Saccharomyces cerevisiae S288C: one gene and its partners. Changing the gene in region 1 together with any one later gene gives a genetic interaction. Each region holds a gene or a part of one and is shown in the gene's direction. Other genes may lie near its edges.

The links.
Region 2: mutations in PHO5 (region 1) and KIN82 together harm fitness more than expected from each alone (negative genetic interaction), as found in Saccharomyces cerevisiae (3 studies listed by BioGRID).
Region 3: mutations in PHO5 (region 1) and CHS1 are lethal when combined (synthetic lethality), as found in Saccharomyces cerevisiae (2 studies listed by BioGRID, with this or other methods).

Annotation. Positions count from the first base shown.
Region 1 is NC_001134.8:428,987-432,747, reverse strand, and holds PHO5 (acid phosphatase PHO5), read left to right. Parts: upstream 1-1,796; coding exon 1,797-3,200; downstream 3,201-3,761. Other genes in the region: PBY1 (putative tubulin tyrosine ligase), read right to left, coding at 1-712; acid phosphatase PHO3, read left to right, coding at 3,647-3,761. UniProt on the Saccharomyces cerevisiae protein: Partially mediates extracellular nucleotide derived phosphate hydrolysis along with NPP1 and NPP2.
Region 2 is NC_001135.5:272,717-277,066, forward strand, and holds KIN82 (putative serine/threonine protein kinase KIN82), read left to right. Parts: upstream 1-1,687; coding exon 1,688-3,850; downstream 3,851-4,350. Other genes in the region: YCR090C (uncharacterized protein), read right to left, coding at 1-147; mismatch repair protein MSH3, read right to left, coding at 4,048-4,350. UniProt on the Saccharomyces cerevisiae protein: Flippase activator that phosphorylates DFN1 and DFN2 and which is involved in the generation of phospholipid asymmetry in membranes by the inward translocation of phospholipids.
Region 3 is NC_001146.8:274,577-280,397, forward strand, and holds CHS1 (chitin synthase CHS1), read left to right. Parts: upstream 1-1,925; coding exon 1,926-5,321; downstream 5,322-5,821. Other genes in the region: YNL193W (uncharacterized protein), read left to right, coding at 1-1,468. UniProt on the Saccharomyces cerevisiae protein: Polymerizes chitin, a structural polymer of the cell wall and septum, by transferring the sugar moiety of UDP-GlcNAc to the non-reducing end of the growing chitin polymer. Required for mitotic division septum formation during adverse conditions.

The DNA of each region.
Region 1 (3,761 bases):
GAATCCATCTATTTTCCCAAATTGGTGCATAGTAAACCTTTGTATCATCACTTAAACTCTCCACTAAAGGAATATTGATACTATATAGATCTGTTTTTGGGTCCCAATTCTTAACAAGATGTTTGATAACATCTAAAGATCTCTTAGAGGCCTTCTCCATTAAAAGTGGGGAGACGTTTTTCAATCCATTAAAATAGGCCCAAGAAATAGCAATGGCCTTTGTATTTCCAGTAATAACAGATTCCATTGCGCCTCCTACGGTACCAGAAGAGGTAATATAAGCAGCAGATGTATTTCTACCAACATTTGGACCCGACAGTACTAGATCAAACGGTTCATTAGACAATAGGTGCAGCCCGATGTTTGCGCACGATGCTGGAGTTCCATCGATTAATATCCACTCAATTGTATCTTTCGGAATTTCAGCATTGAGAACATAAGGTAATTTAGAGTTTTCTGACCTAATTTGTGGCTGGATAAATGGGCCCCAAAAAGTATTGTCTTCAGCGTCAACTTTAGAATATATGAATTGAGCTGTCAAATTTTTACCAGCAAGATGAGCCTTACCCACCCATGATTTCTGGACATGAGGTACACAAACCGTGATTTTCCATTCAGGATAATTTCTTTTAATGTGCTGAATAAAAGGTCTAATGTATGGTGAAAACTGATCACTTAAGGGACCATCATCGTTAGTTATTAAAACCCGCATCTTAAAAGAAATATTTATTGTTTCCGAATTTTTAATGTCAGAGATCAAGTCAGAGCGGCTGCCTTTACCGTAATTTTCAATTGCTAAATACAATGTTCCTTGGTTATCCCATCGCCAATAATTTTTATTTTTACCACTGTTGAAGAAGCGAAAGAAAAAAAAAGGGAAAATCAAAACATTCCCTGTGCACTAATAGAAGAAAACAAGAGACTCCGTCCCTCTTTAGTGAGAAAATTGACCAGAGATGGTTTTTGTCCATCTTTTCGCAAAAAATTAGTTCTATTTTTTACACATCGGACTGATAAGTTACTACTGCACATTGGCATTAGCTAGGAGGGCATCCAAGTAATAATTGCGAGAAACGTGACCCAACTTTGTTGTAGGTCCGCTCCTTCTAATAATCGCTTGTATCTCTACATATGTTCTATTTACTGACCGAAAGTAGCTCGCTACAATAATAATGTTGACCTGATGTCAGTCCCCACGCTAATAGCGGCGTGTCGCACGCTCTCTTTACAGGACGCCGGAGACCGGCATTACAAGGATCCGAAAGTTGTATTCAACAAGAATGCGCAAATATGTCAACGTATTTGGAAGTCATCTTATGTGCGCTGCTTTAATGTTTTCTCATGTAAGCGGACGTCGTCTATAAACTTCAAACGAAGGTAAAAGGTTCATAGCGCTTTTTCTTTGTCTGCACAAAGAAATATATATTAAATTAGCACGTTTTCGCATAGAACGCAACTGCACAATGCCAAAAAAAGTAAAAGTGATTAAAAGAGTTAATTGAATAGGCAATCTCTAAATGAATCGATACAACCTTGGCACTCACACGTGGGACTAGCACAGACTAAATTTATGATTCTGGTCCCTGTTTTCGAAGAGATCGCACATGCCAAATTATCAAATTGGTCACCTTACTTGGCAAGGCATATACCCATTTGGGATAAGGGTAAACATCTTTGAATTGTCGAAATGAAACGTATATAAGCGCTGATGTTTTGCTAAGTCGAGGTTAGTATGGCTTCATCTCTCATGAGAATAAGAACAACAACAAATAGAGCAAGCAAATTCGAGATTACCAATGTTTAAATCTGTTGTTTATTCAATTTTAGCCGCTTCTTTGGCCAATGCAGGTACCATTCCCTTAGGCAAACTAGCCGATGTCGACAAGATTGGTACCCAAAAAGATATCTTCCCATTTTTGGGTGGTGCCGGACCATACTACTCTTTCCCTGGCGACTATGGTATTTCTCGTGATTTGCCTGAAGGTTGTGAAATGAAGCAACTGCAAATGGTTGGTAGACATGGTGAAAGATACCCTACTGTCAGTCTGGCTAAGACTATCAAGAGTACATGGTATAAGTTGAGCAATTACACTCGTCAATTCAACGGCTCATTGTCATTCTTGAACGATGATTACGAGTTTTTCATCCGTGATGACGATGATTTGGAAATGGAAACCACTTTTGCCAACTCGGACGATGTTTTGAACCCATACACTGGTGAAATGAACGCCAAGAGACATGCTCGTGACTTCTTGGCTCAATACGGTTACATGGTCGAAAACCAAACCAGTTTCGCCGTTTTTACCTCTAATTCTAAGAGATGTCATGACACTGCTCAATATTTCATTGATGGTTTAGGTGACCAATTCAACATCACCTTGCAGACTGTCAGTGAAGCTGAATCCGCTGGTGCCAACACTTTGAGTGCTTGTAACTCATGTCCTGCTTGGGACTACGATGCCAATGATGACATTGTAAATGAATACGACACAACCTACTTGGATGACATTGCCAAGAGATTGAACAAGGAAAACAAGGGTTTGAACTTGACCTCAACTGACGCTAGTACTTTATTCTCGTGGTGTGCATTTGAAGTGAACGCTAAAGGTTACAGTGATGTCTGTGATATTTTCACCAAGGATGAATTAGTCCATTACTCCTACTACCAAGACTTGCACACTTATTACCATGAGGGTCCAGGTTACGACATTATCAAGTCTGTCGGTTCCAACTTGTTCAATGCCTCAGTCAAATTATTAAAGCAAAGTGAGATTCAAGACCAAAAGGTTTGGTTGAGTTTTACCCACGATACCGATATCCTAAACTTTTTGACCACCGCTGGTATAATTGACGACAAAAACAACTTAACTGCCGAATACGTTCCATTCATGGGCAACACTTTCCACAGATCCTGGTACGTTCCTCAAGGTGCTCGTGTCTACACCGAAAAATTCCAATGTTCTAACGACACCTACGTCAGATACGTCATTAACGATGCTGTTGTTCCAATTGAAACCTGTTCCACTGGTCCAGGGTTCTCTTGTGAAATCAATGACTTCTACGACTATGCTGAAAAGAGAGTAGCCGGTACTGACTTCCTAAAGGTCTGTAACGTCAGCAGCGTCAGTAACTCTACTGAATTGACCTTCTACTGGGACTGGAACACTACTCATTACAACGCCAGTCTATTGAGACAATAGTTTTGTATAACTAAATAATATTGGAAACTAAATACGAATACCCAAATTTTTTATCTAAATTTTGCCGAAAGATTAAAATCTGCAGAGATATCCGAAACAGGTAAATGGATGTTTCAATCCCTGTAGTCAGTCAGGAACCCATATTATATTACAGTATTAGTCGCCGCTTAGGCACGCCTTTAATTAGCAAAATCAAACCTTAAGTGCATATGCCGTATAAGGGAAACTCAAAGAACTGGCATCGCAAAAATGAAAAAAAGGAAGAGTGAAAAAAAAAAAATTCAAAAGAAATTTACTAAATAATACCAGTTTGGGAAATAGTAAACAGCTTTGAGTAGTCCTATGCAACATATATAAGTGCTTAAATTTGCTGGATGGAAGTCAATTATGCCTTGATTATCATAAAAAAAATACTACAGTAAAGAAAGGGCCATTCCAAATTACCTATGTTTAAGTCTGTTGTTTATTCGGTTCTAGCCGCTGCTTTAGTTAATGCAGGTACAATTCCCCTCGGAGAGTTAGCCGATGTTGCCAAAATTGGCACTCAGGAAGACATATTCC
Region 2 (4,350 bases), on another chromosome or scaffold:
GATGATGACTTTAGAATCGTGTAATTCTCTACAACTGGTACATTGTAGATCGAAGGCAAATTCTGCCCTTGATTCGTTTGTATTCTCAATTGAAACCTTGGTCACGTTTTCTGATAATGTTGCTTTCAGAACCAAAAATAACGGCATTATCGTACACAACCTGGTTTTCTTTATTGGTTAAGTTGTCTTTATTCAAAATTTTTCATTACTTCTTATAAACAGCTTCTTGACGCTTGTAATTTCATAAGTTTTTGATACAAGCAATGGAAACAAAATTAAGAAAATGTAGGCAACGAAGAACTAAATTTGAAAAAAAAAAAAAAAAAAATTTACTGCCAAGATCATCTAAATTATCTTATAGTAGCAAAGCTTGAGCATAAAAGGATCAATCTTTTAGTTTTTTATGGCAAAGTACATTTGCAGTAAGTAATTAGTGATGAGATAAACAAAGAATAATAATCCAATTCGAAATCAAAAATTCAAACAACAAAAAACATAATTTCACATATATATCTAATTCATTCACGAAAAACACGTCAGTTCCTTCTGTCTGTTGTAAATAGGATGCATCCGCAGTGAATCATGGAAATATTTCAAAACTTTCAGCCCAATCATTTTATTTGGTCAATGAAGCCATAAACGCTCCGTAATTCTAAGATTAAAAAAAATTCATAAAAATAAGGACCAATATAAATATATATATTTAATGTGCTAGTGACAATCCTAGTGATAAAATTGCAAATTATACTACAATTGGTCATGGTGAAGCCTAAACACACCATTACGTCTTCACAGTGTTATTCATTTTATTTTCAAAGGTATGCTACTACTAATGCACCAGTGTATACCATGATACGGTGAAAAGGGCATGTAATATTGCGTTAATTTGTCGATAACCTTTCTTTACGTTTAAATTTTTTTTTTATAACTGGCGACACTAAACTTCTCGATAAAATACAACATAAAAAGCAGTACCTAGCTAAGCGAACAACAGATAATAAATAGCTAAACATCTAGGTTAATAGCCAATTAGCAATACATTTAAGGATTGATAGTGTGGTATTTACAAGGTAATAGCCCGCTAGGCTATAAGGAAACTACTCTAAATTCACCTTCCATATATGTGACTGCCAAGAAAATATTACTAGTTATCAAGCTTTTTTTGTGTGCATTCAACTTCAACGAATCCTTCGTCATCAATGAAACAAAAGAACAAGCCAGAACTGAAAAAAAAAAATCAAAACCACTAAGAATGTCACATCCTTCCAAAACTCCTGCTGGCTCTTCAACTCTTCAAAGAATATCAAGATAAATATCATTATCTCCAGTGTGGCCGACCCATGCATGAGTGCGAGGAGCATTAAGTTGGATCCTGGGAAAACATGTCAAGGACATTCAATAAAGTACTTTTCATACTACAACAGACGCTAGAAGAACTAGAATGTAACCGTGAACTGCCTCTCAAACACATAATTATGATAGCGCCGTCTTCGGCATCCTTTTTCGGAAATATACTTTCCTTTTTCCCTCTTTCAGCTATATTGTTCAAGGAGTAACATAAGACATAATAACCCCAGTTTTTTTAGAGAAAGTTCTTCTTCTTTAATTATAGTATGTTTGAAACGTACAAGAATTCATTGAGTGCCCTAAGGATTACTGCAAACAAGGTTCAACAGTGTTGGTACACATGACTCAGCAAGAATACCGTTCCCCCTCACAACGCTTATCCAAGGGGAGGAGCATGTCGCTACCCAAAATATTTGCTCGTAATTTGAGATCTCTGCAAAACAATGCACCTCCTGGCAAAAACATCAATGTCAATTGTTTGAACGTCAATTCTTGTTCGTTGTCCGCAAGCCCAAGCTCACAAATTAATATGGCTTGTAATGGAAACAAGCAAGATCTTCCCATACCGTTTCCCCTGCATGTAGAATGCAACGATAGCTGGTCAAGCTCCAAACTTAACAAGTTCAAATCAATGTTTAATCATAACAGATCAAAGAGCAGTGGTACTACAGATGCGTCAACTTCAGAAAAAGGTACGCATAAGCGTGAACCCCGGTCGACGATACATACAGAGCTGTTACAAAGTTCCATTATCGGTGAGCCAAATGTCCATAGTACTACAAGTAGCACACTTATACCCAATGAGGCGATATGCTCCACACCTAATGAGATCTCAGGTAGCTCTTCTCCGGACGCGGAGTTATTTACCTTTGACATGCCCACAGACCCGTCATCCTTCCACACTCCTAGCTCCCCAAGTTATATAGCAAAGGACAGTAGAAACCTGAGTAATGGATCTTTGAATGATATTAACGAAAATGAAGAGCTCCAAAATTTCCATAGAAAAATCAGCGAAAATGGCAGTGCCTCCCCCCTGGCTAACTTGTCATTATCCAATTCACCAATTGATTCCCCAAGGAAAAATAGCGAAACCAGAAAGGATCAAATACCTATGAACATAACACCACGTTTAAGGAGGGCCGCTTCCGAACCGTTCAATACGGCAAAGGATGGGTTAATGCGGGAAGATTACATTGCCTTGAAACAACCTCCAAGCTTGGGAGATATTGTAGAACCGAGGAGATCTCGTCGTTTAAGAACCAAGTCATTCGGTAACAAGTTCCAAGACATTACTGTCGAACCTCAATCCTTCGAAAAAATTAGACTACTTGGCCAAGGTGACGTAGGTAAAGTGTATTTAGTGAGGGAACGCGATACCAACCAGATATTCGCCCTGAAAGTTTTGAATAAACATGAGATGATCAAGAGGAAGAAAATTAAACGAGTACTCACTGAACAGGAAATTCTCGCGACAAGTGATCATCCATTTATTGTGACACTGTATCATTCCTTTCAAACCAAAGACTATTTGTATCTCTGTATGGAATACTGCATGGGAGGGGAATTCTTTAGAGCCTTACAAACAAGAAAAAGTAAATGCATTGCAGAAGAAGATGCGAAGTTTTACGCCAGTGAAGTAGTAGCAGCTTTGGAATATTTACACCTACTGGGCTTCATATACAGAGATTTGAAACCCGAAAACATATTACTGCATCAATCTGGTCATGTCATGCTTTCTGACTTTGATTTATCCATCCAAGCAACGGGATCAAAAAAACCCACCATGAAAGACTCTACGTATTTAGATACAAAAATTTGTTCAGATGGATTCAGAACTAATTCCTTTGTTGGTACTGAAGAGTATTTAGCTCCAGAAGTAATCAGAGGGAATGGCCACACTGCAGCAGTAGACTGGTGGACTTTAGGAATATTGATTTACGAGATGCTATTTGGCTGTACTCCATTTAAAGGAGATAATTCAAATGAAACATTCTCTAACATTTTAACCAAGGACGTCAAATTTCCACATGATAAGGAAGTTTCGAAGAATTGTAAAGACCTGATAAAGAAACTACTAAACAAAAACGAGGCAAAAAGGCTTGGTTCCAAATCAGGAGCTGCAGACATAAAGAGACATCCCTTCTTCAAAAAAGTTCAGTGGTCGTTCTTAAGAAACCAAGACCCCCCTCTAATACCTGCATTAAATGATAACGGCTGCGAACTTCCTTTTATATTGTCTTGCAATAAACACCCGAAAAGGAACTCAGTGAGTGAACAGGAAACCAAAATGTTCTGTGAGAAAGTTGCAAACGATGATGAAATTGATGAGGCTGATCCATTCCATGATTTTAATTCTATGAGTTTAACGAAGAAAGATCACAATATCTTAACCTACTCTGAAAATTATACCTACGGAAAAATTCTATACAAAGCAACTTGTACAAGGCCAAGGCATAACAGCTCACATAGAAGTTTCTTTAAAGACATCATACCTGAACTATAACATGTTTACAGAAAGATAAACCCATGGCCAAATTTCTGTATTGTTTCTCTCAATTTATCTTATGATAAAAATGTAAAAAATTATTTAAAAGTAAACAAATAAACAAAGGAACAATTCAAAAACGAGAAAGTGAATGAAAAATATAATATCATTTATTGTCTGATAATGCTGCATTTAGAACATACGTACCATCCGCATCAGTGGATATCCAATGATAGTAATTTCGCGAGTTTATCCGTTGCTGTTATATTATCACTTTTTAATATTCTTTTCAAAGAGCTGAATAATTTCAACGCGTCTTCGTTAATGGATTCCTTCCGCAATTCTTCTGAAATACTGAATGCCCGATTTATAATATCTTTGTCCAGGCGTGCCAATTTCGCCACATTCATCCCATAACTATTATAAGTCAATCCCTTTTTTAACTTATATAGAAAAATTACACTCATCCAGTCCTCGCCAGTTTTTTGTTCTTCCACGTAATCCATATGATAATTCCT
Region 3 (5,821 bases), on another chromosome or scaffold:
TTCCACGCAGGAAGGGAAATATAATATCTATTATAATGAAACAAGGCTTTTTTTGCAAATTTATACAGATTATCTGGCCAATAACGGCTACATTAATATCTTGCAATACGTGAAAATGGATGATATGCCTGATCTTTCCAATTTGGTGTTATCTCTGCCACAGATTATCCAACGGTTTGAAATTGTTTATGAGACTTTCCCAGAACAGAGAACTTGGGATCTTCAATTCAATCTATTGACATGTTATTTGACTCTCATAGAGTCCCTAGACGACACCGTTTCGCCCACCGTTGCAATGGAAGGTGCAGACATTTTAACTTTGACAAACAAGTATATTGAAATCTTTCAACACCTGGTTAATTATCTGTTACAAGAACTACAAAACTGGAGTGAAAATGCAGAACAAGATTCCGATGACACAGATACGGAATTGCAAAGAGATACTTTGGATGAAGACGCGATGCAAGTTACCAGGGACGGAAGTGGTATCCGAACCAATGGACCTGTACAACCTCCAGCAGAAGTTATGGACGTTTCTGAACAAGTGACTCCGTCTTCACTTACCGAAGTACTCGCCAACTCTTTAAAGTTCAACCATGCTTTGATGGAATTGGTTATTGAGTCGAAAATATCTATTGAAAAAAATGTCGAAACGAAAATCTTGAATCCTATTCAGATTAATTTCTTGGAAGATACAACCAATAAATTCTATTTACAACTACGCGACATTATAGACTCCATTTCCGCCGCCATTCCATTAGATTTGAAGGAAATCGGTTTAGCCAAGACTTTAATTGAAGGTTTGAACATCATTAGCTCCGGAACCTTCGAGTCATTGCAAGATTTTGTTCTGCAAACCGTCTCCTTTACCGATCTGCTTGATGAAAAAGATGTACAGGGTAAGATTGATCTTTCGTTGATTAGAGTTGATATCGTTGAATTTGCCATTCTATGTTTAAACGATTATTCTTCAGATGCATCTTGGAAACTCTCTGGGTTATTGACCAAAGTTCTTACAGAGGCTAGAACTTTATTAACAGACTATAGAAATCAAATCTTGTTTCTGAAAAATCAGACATTGAACGAACAATTGAGTCACGTAGTTTTTCAACTTTGTGATGTCTTAGTAAATTCCTCCGATAATGAACTGAGAAGGTACGCTATAAAAGAATCAACTGAAAAGTCACAAAAAACCCCCGGGGGAGCGCATACTTTAAACATATTGATGAAAAACGCTAACGTTTTTCTGAATAATGCTGTCGCTATCTCATCAAAACAGTGCGGGTTACAAGAAACGATTATTGATAAACTGAAGAGGAACTATATCCATAATCAAGCCAAGGAAAGACTACTTTTCTTACAGAGGCTGGAACAGAAGTCAAATGAGGATGACGGTACTTCTGCTTCGCCTACCGCAATGACGTTCGATATGCCACCAGAACACCCTTTTTATAGCCACTATCGGTAGTGAAATTACGTACATATACATAAGTAGAAGATAATTCGTTGCGCATATGCTACAAGAACCCTTGGTGAAACGAAATTTGATACAAGTAAATACATGCAGGAAACATACATTACCTCTGAAACAAAGCCGAGACGGGGCCCAGCAGTCTTTTTTTAGAAATCGCGTGGCTTGGTAACGCGATAATGACGCGACACAGCCATTAGTGTGAAATTTGATTTTCTTGGCCAAACTAGGTATAATATTTGTTACAAATTATTGATTTTAATATATATCTCGGGTTCATTTTTTACGTCGGTACTCCAAAGGATCAGAACACTTACATTTTGAGGCCTACCGGACCTTGCAGTACTGCTTGTTTAAATACGCAGTATACATTTCTTCTTCTTCTTCTCTCTTCTTTCCTTCCTCGAAGAGTCACTAAATTAATACTGGGAAGCCAAACCAAAAAAACTATACAATGAGTGATCAAAATAATCGATCGAGAAATGAATATCACTCAAACCGGAAGAATGAACCTTCCTATGAACTCCAAAATGCACATAGCGGGCTATTTCACTCTTCTAATGAAGAATTAACAAACAGGAACCAAAGATATACCAATCAAAATGCCAGCATGGGTTCATTCACTCCAGTCCAATCTTTGCAATTTCCAGAACAATCTCAGCAAACAAATATGCTTTATAACGGTGACGATGGCAATAATAATACTATCAATGATAACGAACGAGACATATATGGAGGTTTTGTCAACCACCATCGCCAGCGTCCCCCACCAGCAACTGCAGAATACAATGACGTTTTTAATACGAATAGTCAACAGCTACCGTCGGAACATCAATACAATAACGTACCTTCATATCCACTTCCTTCGATAAATGTGATTCAAACCACTCCAGAACTCATACATAACGGCTCACAGACTATGGCCACCCCCATCGAAAGGCCCTTCTTTAACGAAAACGACTACTATTATAATAACAGGAACTCTAGGACGTCACCGAGTATTGCTTCTAGTAGCGATGGTTATGCAGATCAGGAAGCTAGGCCCATTTTGGAGCAACCCAACAATAACATGAATAGCGGTAATATTCCTCAATACCATGACCAACCTTTTGGATACAACAATGGTTACCATGGCCTACAGGCAAAAGATTACTATGACGATCCGGAGGGTGGTTATATTGATCAGAGAGGAGATGACTATCAGATTAATTCATATTTGGGTAGAAACGGTGAAATGGTTGATCCTTACGATTATGAAAACAGTTTAAGACATATGACTCCTATGGAGCGTAGAGAATATCTTCATGATGATAGCAGACCCGTAAACGATGGAAAAGAAGAATTAGACAGTGTGAAAAGCGGTTACTCTCATAGAGACTTGGGGGAATATGACAAGGATGATTTTTCAAGGGATGACGAGTACGATGATCTCAACACTATTGATAAATTACAGTTTCAAGCTAATGGTGTACCTGCATCATCCTCGGTGTCTTCTATCGGATCTAAAGAATCCGACATAATAGTAAGCAATGATAACTTAACCGCAAATAGAGCACTAAAGAGAAGCGGTACTGAAATTAGGAAATTCAAACTTTGGAATGGTAATTTTGTTTTCGATTCTCCAATCAGTAAGACGCTATTGGACCAATACGCTACTACAACAGAAAATGCAAACACTTTACCAAATGAGTTTAAGTTTATGAGATATCAAGCAGTTACTTGCGAACCTAATCAACTTGCAGAGAAGAATTTCACGGTGAGGCAGTTGAAGTATTTAACTCCAAGGGAAACGGAATTGATGCTAGTAGTCACAATGTATAATGAAGACCATATCCTGTTAGGAAGAACTTTGAAAGGTATTATGGACAATGTCAAATATATGGTGAAAAAAAAAAATTCAAGCACTTGGGGGCCGGATGCATGGAAAAAGATTGTCGTTTGTATCATTTCAGATGGTAGATCCAAAATTAATGAACGCTCGCTAGCATTACTAAGTTCGTTAGGTTGTTACCAGGACGGGTTTGCTAAGGATGAAATTAATGAAAAAAAAGTGGCAATGCATGTCTACGAACATACGACAATGATCAACATCACAAATATTTCGGAATCAGAGGTTTCATTAGAATGCAATCAAGGTACCGTTCCAATACAACTTTTGTTTTGTTTGAAAGAGCAAAATCAGAAAAAAATTAACTCACATAGATGGGCATTTGAAGGCTTTGCAGAATTACTGCGTCCCAATATCGTTACATTGTTAGATGCTGGTACCATGCCAGGTAAAGATTCTATTTACCAGTTATGGAGAGAGTTCAGGAATCCAAATGTTGGTGGCGCATGTGGTGAAATAAGAACTGATTTGGGTAAGAGATTTGTAAAGCTTTTGAATCCTTTAGTTGCATCACAGAATTTCGAATACAAAATGTCCAATATTTTAGACAAAACAACCGAGTCTAACTTTGGATTTATTACTGTTCTACCGGGGGCATTCTCTGCGTATAGGTTTGAAGCTGTGAGAGGCCAACCATTACAGAAGTACTTTTATGGTGAAATTATGGAAAATGAAGGTTTTCATTTTTTTTCTTCCAATATGTATCTTGCTGAAGATCGTATTTTATGCTTTGAAGTGGTCACAAAAAAAAATTGTAATTGGATTTTGAAATACTGCAGAAGTTCTTATGCTTCAACAGATGTACCGGAGAGGGTCCCTGAATTTATTCTTCAGAGGAGGCGTTGGTTGAATGGTTCATTTTTTGCTAGTGTATATTCCTTTTGTCATTTTTACAGAGTCTGGAGCAGTGGTCATAATATTGGTAGAAAACTCCTTTTGACGGTTGAATTTTTTTACCTTTTCTTCAATACATTGATTTCATGGTTTTCATTGAGTTCATTTTTCCTAGTCTTTAGAATTCTCACTGTTTCTATTGCACTGGCATACCATTCAGCATTTAATGTGTTGTCCGTCATATTCCTGTGGCTTTATGGGATTTGTACCTTATCAACATTCATACTGTCATTGGGTAATAAACCTAAAAGTACTGAGAAATTTTATGTTCTAACTTGCGTCATTTTTGCGGTGATGATGATTTACATGATATTCTGCAGTATATTCATGAGTGTCAAATCCTTCCAAAATATATTGAAAAACGATACCATCAGCTTTGAGGGTTTGATTACCACAGAAGCTTTCAGGGATATTGTTATCTCTCTGGGCTCCACTTATTGTTTGTACCTAATCAGTTCAATTATCTATTTGCAGCCATGGCATATGTTGACAAGTTTTATTCAGTATATTTTATTGAGTCCTTCTTACATCAATGTTTTGAATATCTATGCATTTTGTAATGTCCACGACTTATCATGGGGTACAAAGGGTGCAATGGCAAATCCGCTGGGTAAGATTAATACTACAGAAGATGGTACGTTCAAAATGGAAGTTCTGGTCTCTAGTTCAGAGATTCAAGCAAACTACGATAAATATTTGAAAGTTTTAAATGACTTCGATCCAAAATCAGAATCTCGGCCTACTGAGCCATCTTATGATGAAAAAAAGACTGGCTATTATGCAAACGTTAGATCTCTCGTGATTATCTTTTGGGTCATCACAAATTTCATCATCGTTGCTGTTGTCTTAGAAACCGGTGGGATTGCAGATTATATTGCTATGAAATCCATATCAACTGATGACACTTTAGAAACTGCAAAGAAGGCGGAAATTCCCTTAATGACCAGTAAGGCCTCAATTTATTTTAATGTAATTTTATGGTTAGTTGCATTATCGGCATTAATAAGGTTCATTGGTTGCTCAATATACATGATAGTAAGGTTTTTTAAAAAGGTTACATTTCGCTAAGTAGATTGATTACCCCTTTGTTATAAATAAGTATATGTGTTTACTATCATATAATAATTAATTAGTTGTAAGTATGGTATTTTTCAAAGAAACATTTAGTATTATTTTTAAAGGGTGCCTTTACCATAAAACCAAAAAAAAATGGCTTCTGAGAGAAAAACATAAATAATTGATAAAACTGAAACTCACAACACCAACTCTTCCGCTCTAAACACCCAAAGCTCAAAAAACGACATGTGCACATCTATATCCATAAACTTTCAAAAAAGTGGTTCATTCGCAAATTCATGAAGTATTATTTAATACACAGTAATCTGGCATTTCATACTATCATTGCTCAAATTATCCGCCGGACCCTTGAAACTGTGGCGCTTTTTAAGACGCATCTCCAAAAAAAGAAAAAGAACAAAAGAAAAAAAGCTGCAAATATATATACAAAACAGATTTCACGTTTATTGCTTGGGAGTAAGGTAACGATCCGGAAGCCTTGAAGAAATTTG